Cricetulus griseus: one gene and its partner. The protein of the gene in region 1 interacts with the protein of each later gene in a biochemical or structural test. Links are inferred from orthologs where the notes say so. Each region holds a gene or a part of one and is shown in the gene's direction. Other genes may lie near its edges.

Region 1 (4,252 bases):
ATATAGATATGTAAGCATTGTTATATACTAGAAATATTTTGTTTCTGTTTACAAATTTTTGGAGATAAGATCTCATTTAGTCCAGACTGGTCTAGCAGCCAACTGTGGACCCCCTGTCTCCACTTCCCCAAGTGTTGGGATTCTGGGCATGCATCACCACACTGGATCAAAATGGGCTGGGGCTCAAGCCCAGGATGTTTGCAAGCAGTATGTTCTGCAAGCATCCCACCAACTGACCTACAACTGCAGCTTTCAGAAGCACTTACTTCCAGAGAGTTTTTATTAGAGAATTATTCGACTAGTTCAAACATTCGTGTTACATATGTTATTTATTCCAAGAGATTTGAAATTCAACATGTTTTAGTTAACTCTTGAAAGGACTTCATTTATTCAATATTGGTGGCCACTAAGTCATGAATGGGAAGTAGGTGGGTGACACAGGAGAGGACACAAGGCCTCAGAGCCTCCACCACAGCCTAAGCAGAAGCAACACCAATAATTTTTAGAGGCAGGGCTTCTCTGTCACCACCGCCTGGCTAAGAATTTTTTCTTTTTTAGTTTTTGAGACAAGGCCTCACTGTGTAGCCCTGACTGTCCTGGGACTCGTTCTGTACACCAGGCTGGGCTCAAACTCTCAGAGATCCACCTGCCTCTGCCTCCCAAGTGCTGGGATTAAAGGCGTGCGTTACATACTTGACAAACACTTTTTTAAAAAAATAATTTATTTAAATTCATTTTTTGTGCATTGGTGTTCATCTCCTGAAACTGGAGTTGTAGACAGTTGTGAGCTGCCATGTGGGTGCTGGGAATTAATTGAACTCAGGTTCTCTGGAAGAGCAGCCAATGCTCTTAACCACTGAGCCATCTCTCCAGCCCCCTGACAAACATTTCTTAAGCAGACAAAAACGCACATTTTTCTTTGATGCTCGTGGAAAAAATACACGCCATCGTTTGTCCCCAGCTATTGCCATTCCGGATCTCACAGGCTCGCAGTCCATAAACTCTGGAAGGGTGGGATGGCTGATGGGGCGGGCATTTTTTTCTTGGACGTCCGACGTCACTGGAGGGAACCTGTGACGTCTGGCCGTGAGCGACGGCGGCGCGACGGTGAAGGCCAGTCCCCGGGCTGTCGCGCCGCTCCCAGGCCGGCTTCTGTGGCGCGGCGAGAGCCGAAGAGCCGTTAAGAAGCGCCCAGCTCGCGTCACGCACACCTTCGCAAACCTACGCCGACGCGCTTCCTCGAGGCCCCGCCCACTCCCCCCCCCCGCAGTTCGGGGGCGGGCTGGAGGAGGCGGGGCCCAGGAGGAGCAAGCGCATGCGCTCTCGCGATCCGGCCGCTGAAGGGTGGGGGGAGGGAGAGGACTAGCGATCTCGCGAGGGTTGAGAGCGGGTGGCGTAGGCGGCTGTCCCGGTGGTTGGAGAAGAGAACCTACGCGGGGCGAGGAGAAGGCGCCCGGACGCCGCGCAGAACCTTTCGCTTTCCTTTCCCCTGCCCTCAGCCCTCGGTCTCCCCGGAGTCAGCCCGCCCTCCCTGACCTCCGTGACCCCGCTGGCCCCGCCCACCCTCGTCGACGTGATTCCCGCCGTGAAGTCAACGCCGGCGGAGTGGAGCGGAGCCGGGTCCCGCGGAAGAGGAGGTCGGGGCGAGCTCCGCGGCAGGGCCGGCTCGGGTCGGTGGCGGAGCCGCCGCGCGTGAGAACTTCCGGCCGGGGCTCGCTCCTCGGTCGGCCCGGGCGCCAGAGTCGAGCAGGCAGGCCGGCCGGCCCAGGCCGCTTCGCTTCCCTCCGCGCCGCGCCTGCCCGTGGCCGCGGCGGGTGACGCAGCCGGAACATGTCGTCGTCGTCGGCGGCCGAGCCTCCGCCGCCCCCGCCTCCCGAGAGCGCGCCTCCCAAGGCCGCGGCCGCGGGCGCCGGCGGGAGCAGCAGCAGCAGCAGCGGCGGCGGCGGCAACAAAGGCGGCCCCGAGGCCGTGGCGGCGCCTGCGGCTCCATCGTGTGCGGGGGGCGCGGGCCCCGCGGACGCCGACATGGAGGTGAGCACGGCGGGCGGGCGTGCGCGCAGGGAGGGAAGGAGGGAGGGAGATGGATGCTCGCTTGCCCGCTCGCTGGCGCTGAGTCTGCCTCCCTCACCTCTGCGTTTCCCTCCGCGTAGTAGCCTAGGCGGCTCGCCGACCGCTCTTAGGAAACACATGTTCCTGATTACCGTGGTCGAGGGACCCGGTTTCCCCCAGCGTTAGACGCCCTCAGAAGGGCTCTGTTTCCCCCGGATCTGGGTTTTAGTTTGCACTAAACTTTGGGGAAGGGCGAGGGAGCTGGCCCCTTCGCCGTGGAATTCACGGGGCGAGCGCGACGTTTGTCAGCGTCGCACGCAGCCGGGGACTTTGGGCCTCCAGTGCCCCATCCCGGTGCTGGCGGGGGCGGCATCTGTCTGTCGTGGGCAGAAACAATGGCGAGAGCTGGAGGGCCGAATGCGCAGTGGGGATGAGCGGGGCGCAGCTGCCTCTGCAGCAAGGGGAGGCCCCTCCCGAGCCCCGCTCTACCGGGAGGAGAGCGAGCGAGCGAGCCAGCGTGACAGCCGCAGCACCTGTCCCGGATCCCCATCTAATTAGGGGTTGGTGGACGGACGGATGAATGAATGAATGGGAGCATCGGGGGAGGGCGGTGGGCTACTAGCCCAGCGAATTACCTCCTGTTAAAGCCATTCAGACAATTCGCCGTTGAACCACCATCTGGGACTCGAGTGGGCCAGATGATGATGACAATGCTGGAAATGGGGGAGAGGGTGGAAAAATGGGGGAGTTGCCAGACAGGTCTCTTGGATATGCTCCCAGGCTTTGAGTTGCCTGGGAACAAAGATACTGCTTCTAGTTTTTATTCTTGGCCTTGGACTTGTTTTGTGCTGTTCTATAGTTCAGTCTGAGAATTTCTGCACTTATATTGGAATAATACTCTAAAGATGAACCTTGCTGCAGAATTTACACTATAAGGAAATGATGGTGCAGTTGCATCACTTGGATGAAATAATGTGTTGCTAGTCTTTGAAATCACTTTTAGTGTGTGTGGGGGGTGTTAGTGTAGTGCATCAATTTGAAGTGAAGTTTCATTTTAAAATGTATTTGATGCCAGGCAGTGGTGGGCACACCTTTGATCCCAGCACTCCGAAGGCAGAGGCGAGCGGATTTCTGAGTTCGAGGCCAGCCCGGTTTACAGAGTGAATTCCAGTACAGCCAGGGCTACAAAGAGAAACCCTATCTACAAAAACAAAAAATGTATTTATGCCCCTTAAATAAGATTTTAAGTGGTCTTTTGAACTTGTAGAGTTGTTTAACTGGATTGTTGGATTTCTGCTTGAAGTCTGGACACCAAAAACATTGAAGGAAATTATTTGTAAATGTACAATTCACCCCAGAGAGATGCACTTGCTTGCCTAAGCTTTGCAGATTCTGCTCTGCGGTAACTTGAGTCACACATTTCCACAATAGGTGTCATTTCTATTTACAAGTCCTAAAGAGAACTTAAAACCCAAATGAAATTAATTTTTGAGTTTCTGTCTTTCAATTAAAATTTAAATATAGGCATGAATAAGATAACACCTACGATATGAAATAAGTGGTATTTTCGTTCATCAGAGGAGAAAACTGCGTCTTCTGGATAGAGCATGTGACAGAAGTGTGATCTGTTTCCATAATAAGCCTTTTCCACACATCTTGGCCTGTCATTTTTTTAAGTTTGACGATTTTACATATTGAAAAATATCAATAGTTTGTTTTTCTCAGTCGTATTCACTCATTTTCTTTTCTATTAATGTTGTAGTTAATTTTATTGTCTTTTTAAGACTATTACCTTCAGTCTGCTTTCCACTGTGTTAGCTGAATGTAGAATTAGAATTAAGTTTGAGTTTTGGACACTTGCCTAATGTATCTGATGACCTTAAGTAGTTTTTGCAGTTAGAAAAAGAAGACACTAAATTATGAAAGTAATGTCTGCAGTTGGAAAGCACATATTATTGTAGGGTGTGCTTTACCTCTAATGTGTGCTGACAGGGATTTTGTAAGTTAAACTAGGTTGGAGGTTTTGTATTTCCTTGTAGCATTTAAATGTCAGGACGAATGCATTTTTTTTTTGTTTTGTTTTGTTTTGTTTTGTTTTTCGAGACAGGGTTTCTCTGTGTAGCTTTGAAGCCTATCTTGGCACTTGCTCTGGAGACCAGGCTGGCCTCAAACTCACAGAGACCGGCCTGCCTCTGCCTCCCGA
Region 2 (4,304 bases), on another chromosome or scaffold:
TGAAAATGAAATGGTCCATAATGTTCAGATTTTTGGCTTTTCTCCTACATCAAAATTTCTGACAGCACCAGTTCCAGCTAAGTAGTGGCTGGAACTAAGGCTTATGACTTCTTTAAACCAGGCCTGTTTTAAGTGTAGAGTTCTTTCCACCAAGACCATTCATCATTCTACCTGCCTTGGTAGGTTGAGGTTTTTGTTTGTTTGGTTTTTTTTTTTTCTCCCAATAGAGAAATATGTCTTTGTAATTACGTCTCCATGAAAAGTAGGAAAACAAGTCTTGGAACATGTTGTAAGAAAAAAGAGAGGAAGACACACATACACACACACACACACTCACAGAGGGGGGGGCGAGAGAAAACATTAGTTTCTCATGAAGAATTTTTTCTGTACTTGATATGAAAATTATATACCTTAAAACACTATTGAAAATGTAAAATCCTGTAATGACTTTAATGGGGAATATGTACGAAGAATCACTTAATGAATTAAAAAATACAACTTTAACATGGGTTGTTTTTTTTTTAATGAGAACGAGAATATGATGCATTCTTACAATCCGATGCTTCTCGCCCTTTCAGTACCGGAGCATTCCAAACTGAGCCCCGAAGTTTCATCAGGCGTCTCTCGATATCGGCAGCATTGCAGCTGTCCTAATAAAATAGTTGGCATTAAAAAAAAAGATTTAGATAAAGTTTATCTTTAATACGATTATCTCAAGTTGTGAGGGGAATAAGATTAAAGATGGACATCGGTAAATTTACATGCAGCAAAACTGGAAGAAAATCTCCACTGAGTTCCGAGCCAAAAAGAAAAAAAAAAAAAAAAGTGAAGGATTCAAGTGTCAGTCCGAGATTCCGCGGGATACAAGCAGATTCCAAATAGTGCTCTGTTCTGCACCTCTAGGGACAATGCAGAGAGAGAGAAAATGCTCCGAGGCTTTGGCCACGCCCACCTTTGCCCAAGGGGTCACGCCCACCTAGCCCAAGGGGTCACGCCCACCTAGCCCAAGGGTCACGCCCACCTCCTCCGGCGAGGCCACGCCCATCTCGGCCGTCGGAGTGTGGTCCCACAGGCTCAGTCTATGCCTTCACCTTCCATGCTAGGCACCATGCCCCCCCGTTGCCTAGCAGCGGCGCAGGGCACGATGGGAGAATAGACGGAAACCTCAGAGAGCCAAATTTAGTTTCGAAGGAAAGCTCCAGCGATACTGACAGTGCGTGGTAAAGAAACGAGCCTGGAGAGGAATGTCGAGGATACCGTGGAGGCTAACGGAAACCTCAGTGAGCCGAAACCATTGCGACTTGGAAAACTTGGCTACGCCGGCGACTTGAGGCGGGGTCTTGTGCAGAAGGGAAGCTGTGGTGCGCAAAGCACTGTGGGACACCCGGCAACGTGGGGTGGGAAGGAAGCCTCCGAGGGTCAGATCTTAGCGACGCGGGAAGTCCAGACACCAGAACTGTCTGAAGAGGAGGCCTGAGGCGGAGAAGGCTCGGGCTCCAGCGGAGGCAATGGCGGAGAGGCCCGAGGACCTAAATCTGCCCAACGCCGTCATTACTAGGATCATCAAGGAAGCGGTGAGCTGCTCGGGCTGGCGAATGGGTCGAGGGCGGACGAGTGGGCAGAAGGTTAACTAGATCCGCGTGTGTGTTTATCTCCACTCTCGCAGCTCCCGGACGGCGTCAACATCTCCAAGGAGGCCCGGAGCGCCATCTCCCGCGCCGCCAGCGTCTTCGTTCTGTATGCCACATCCTGGTGAGCCGAGCAGGGAGGGAGGCCCTGCGAGATCCTGACCCCGAGTTCATGGCCCCATTAATTGTTCCCCGACTCAGTAGATAGAGCGACTCACAGCTCCCCTCCAGTCCTCGCAAATTCTGAAGCAGGTGAAACAAGAAGGTTGCCGTATCCCTTTGTACGGAGAAGGAATGGACTGAGTCGTGTTACAAAAACCTATGACTCTAAGATAGATGTGGGTTTTCCCACCCCGCCTCTTTGGTGTCTCTTTTCCCCACCCACTCTGACAGCTCCTGAAGGGCTTTGCTTTTTCTTCCAGTGCGAACAACTTCGCAATGAAAGGGAAGCGAAAGACTCTGAATGCCAGTGATGTGCTGTCAGCCATGGAAGAGATGGAGTTCCAGCGGTTCATTTCACCATTGAAAGAAGCCCTAGAAGGTATTCACTCGCTCTTCAGTTTCTTAAGCCACACGGAAGCTGGTCATCCTTCGTTCCCTGATCACCTGATCTTAGTAATCCAATATTGGTCATGATTCAGCTCTGTTTAGTTGGTACCATCTCAGATACATGATGTGGGCCTGGTTGTTCTTCCTGTGGCTCAGTTTGTCTAATTAAACAATAATCTCCTTCTTTACAGCTTACAGGCGGGAGCAGAAAGGCAAGAAGGAAGCTTCCGAGCAAAAGAAGAAGGACAAAGACAAAAAGACAGATTCCGAAGAGCAGGACAAGAGCAGGGAGGAAGATGATGAAGATGAAGAAAGACTAGAAGAGGAAGAGCAGAATGAAGAGGAGGAAGTAGACAACTGAGTCGAGAGAATGGGCACTCTGCGGCACCATGGGAGTGACCAACCTCCCTGAGATGTTTTTATGCGAAGCCTTTCCCTGCAAGGCAGAGCCATCTTCGGCACAGGTGCCTAAGATCAGAATAAAAACTGACCAGAATGATCAAAACCAGCTCTTGCCAGGCTGAGGGCATCAGAGTAACAGAAACCTGTTTTGCTGAATCAGTCTGGAGGTTGTGACTTTTTAGTATAAGGGATTCTGACTGACTAAATAGTTTGATGTCATTTGTTTACTTAAGTATGTGGCTAGCTAGTTTTTGATCCCATTTCCCTGACCCTCCAAAAAAGTAATAACTTCCATGTTGCTTGCCTGCTGTGTTCTGGATCACAGAAGCACTCAAGGCTCAGGGGGAGGAAATGGGGCTTTGATCATGGTCACCCTGTTTGATTGTACAGTATCTGGCAATAGGTATTAATGGTCAGAATGGTTGCGCTTTAGGAAATGACTAAAAGGCTGTGAGAGAATAAGGTAATCTCTTCACTGGATGGTAGCATTACTTGTTTGTTTTGTTTTCTAGACTTAATTAGCCTGTAGCCCTTCTTTGTTGACTATAGATGTTCAGTCTTCTGGGGTGGCTGCACTCCTACACATACACTCTTAAATTCTCAGTGTTGATTAAATTCTGTCCAAAAAGGGTGTCAATTCTTAAAAACAGGTGACTTAATCTTAGGGTAACTCAGTGCCTGCCACTGTAGGATTTAGTGCTACCTCCTGGAAGGTATAAAATCCCAGGTTTTCTCTTGCTTAGTCCATCTCCCTGACTTGCAGCTGCTGCTTTTCATTCCTTGAACTCTTGACAAGTTCCAGATGTTATTTCCTCTAGGCATAGCCTTTTCCCTCTCCATCTCCTGCCTCTGCTTCCCAGCCCCTCTTTCTCCTTTTCTTAATTCATCTTCCAGTCTAGGAACTTTGGTAACCCATGTAGTGTCGCACAGTGCCAGTTCCTCAGATTCCTTAGTCCTACTCTCCTGAAACGCCTCTGAACCTTAAGGTAAATGTAACGGTGCTCAGGAATCTAGCAGCACAGCCACCACTGCTGTGGCTTTTGAAGTGTCTGTTGGCCTTTCCTTTCTCCCCATTTAGTGCTCCAAGCACCCTTTTTTTTTTTTTTTTTTTTTTTTTTTTTTTTGGTCTTAGTTGAGCACTTGAGGTTGAAAAGTAATGTAATATAGTTGGATACTGTTAGCTAGTTGAGTGAATACAATGAAGAGTTTATTGAAAGTGATGAGACTGTTGAGAAGATTTTAATGCTTTTTACAAATAAAGAACATTCTTGTTTAAAATGGTGACTCATAACAGTGTACTTTCAGAAAGAACCTCTCTCTCTCTCTCTCTCTCTCTCTCTCTCTCTCTCTCTCACACACACACACACACACACACACACACACTCAATCTGCATCTCCTTGGCTCACCAGCAGGTGAGTGAGCATTCACAACTAACGACACTGCTCTTAACCACAGCCAACATTTTCTGAAATTCTCTTGGTTACTGTGTATATCTCACTGGCTCTCACTTCTTAAGCTCTTCCTGTGTCTAGCATTGTTCTAAGTGCTTTCAGGTGTTATTCTTAACTCCTATCAAGCAGCATTGCTGTTACCTCGGTTAGCTCCTAACCACAGCTCTATATTTACTCTCTAAAAGACATTGTTAAGTCATAAGTCAAATTTATAAATCAGATTTCACAAAGAACCCCAATGGTCATTTGATATCCTTTCTTAATTCGCATGAG

What was found.
Region 2: the proteins of Smarca5 (region 1) and Pole3 form a complex in vitro, tested with the Homo sapiens proteins (2 studies listed by BioGRID). The link is inferred for Cricetulus griseus from reciprocal best matches to the Homo sapiens genes SMARCA5 and POLE3.

Annotation. Positions count from the first base shown.
Region 1 is NC_048596.1:156,511,643-156,515,894, reverse strand, and holds the start of Smarca5 (SWI/SNF-related matrix-associated actin-dependent regulator of chromatin subfamily A member 5), read left to right. Parts: upstream 1-1,420; 5' UTR 1,421-1,830; coding exon 1,831-2,031; intron 2,032-4,252. UniProt on the Homo sapiens protein: ATPase that possesses intrinsic ATP-dependent nucleosome-remodeling activity.
Region 2 is NC_048595.1:83,345,008-83,349,311, forward strand, and holds Pole3 (DNA polymerase epsilon subunit 3), read left to right. Parts: upstream 1-1,358; 5' UTR 1,359-1,508; coding exon 1,509-1,574; intron 1,575-1,666; coding exon 1,667-1,752; intron 1,753-2,050; coding exon 2,051-2,169; intron 2,170-2,368; coding exon 2,369-2,538; 3' UTR 2,539-3,861; downstream 3,862-4,304. Other genes in the region: CUNH9orf43 (uncharacterized protein C9orf43 homolog), read right to left, coding at 554-650, 1,022-1,045. UniProt on the Homo sapiens protein: Accessory component of the DNA polymerase epsilon complex. Participates in DNA repair and in chromosomal DNA replication.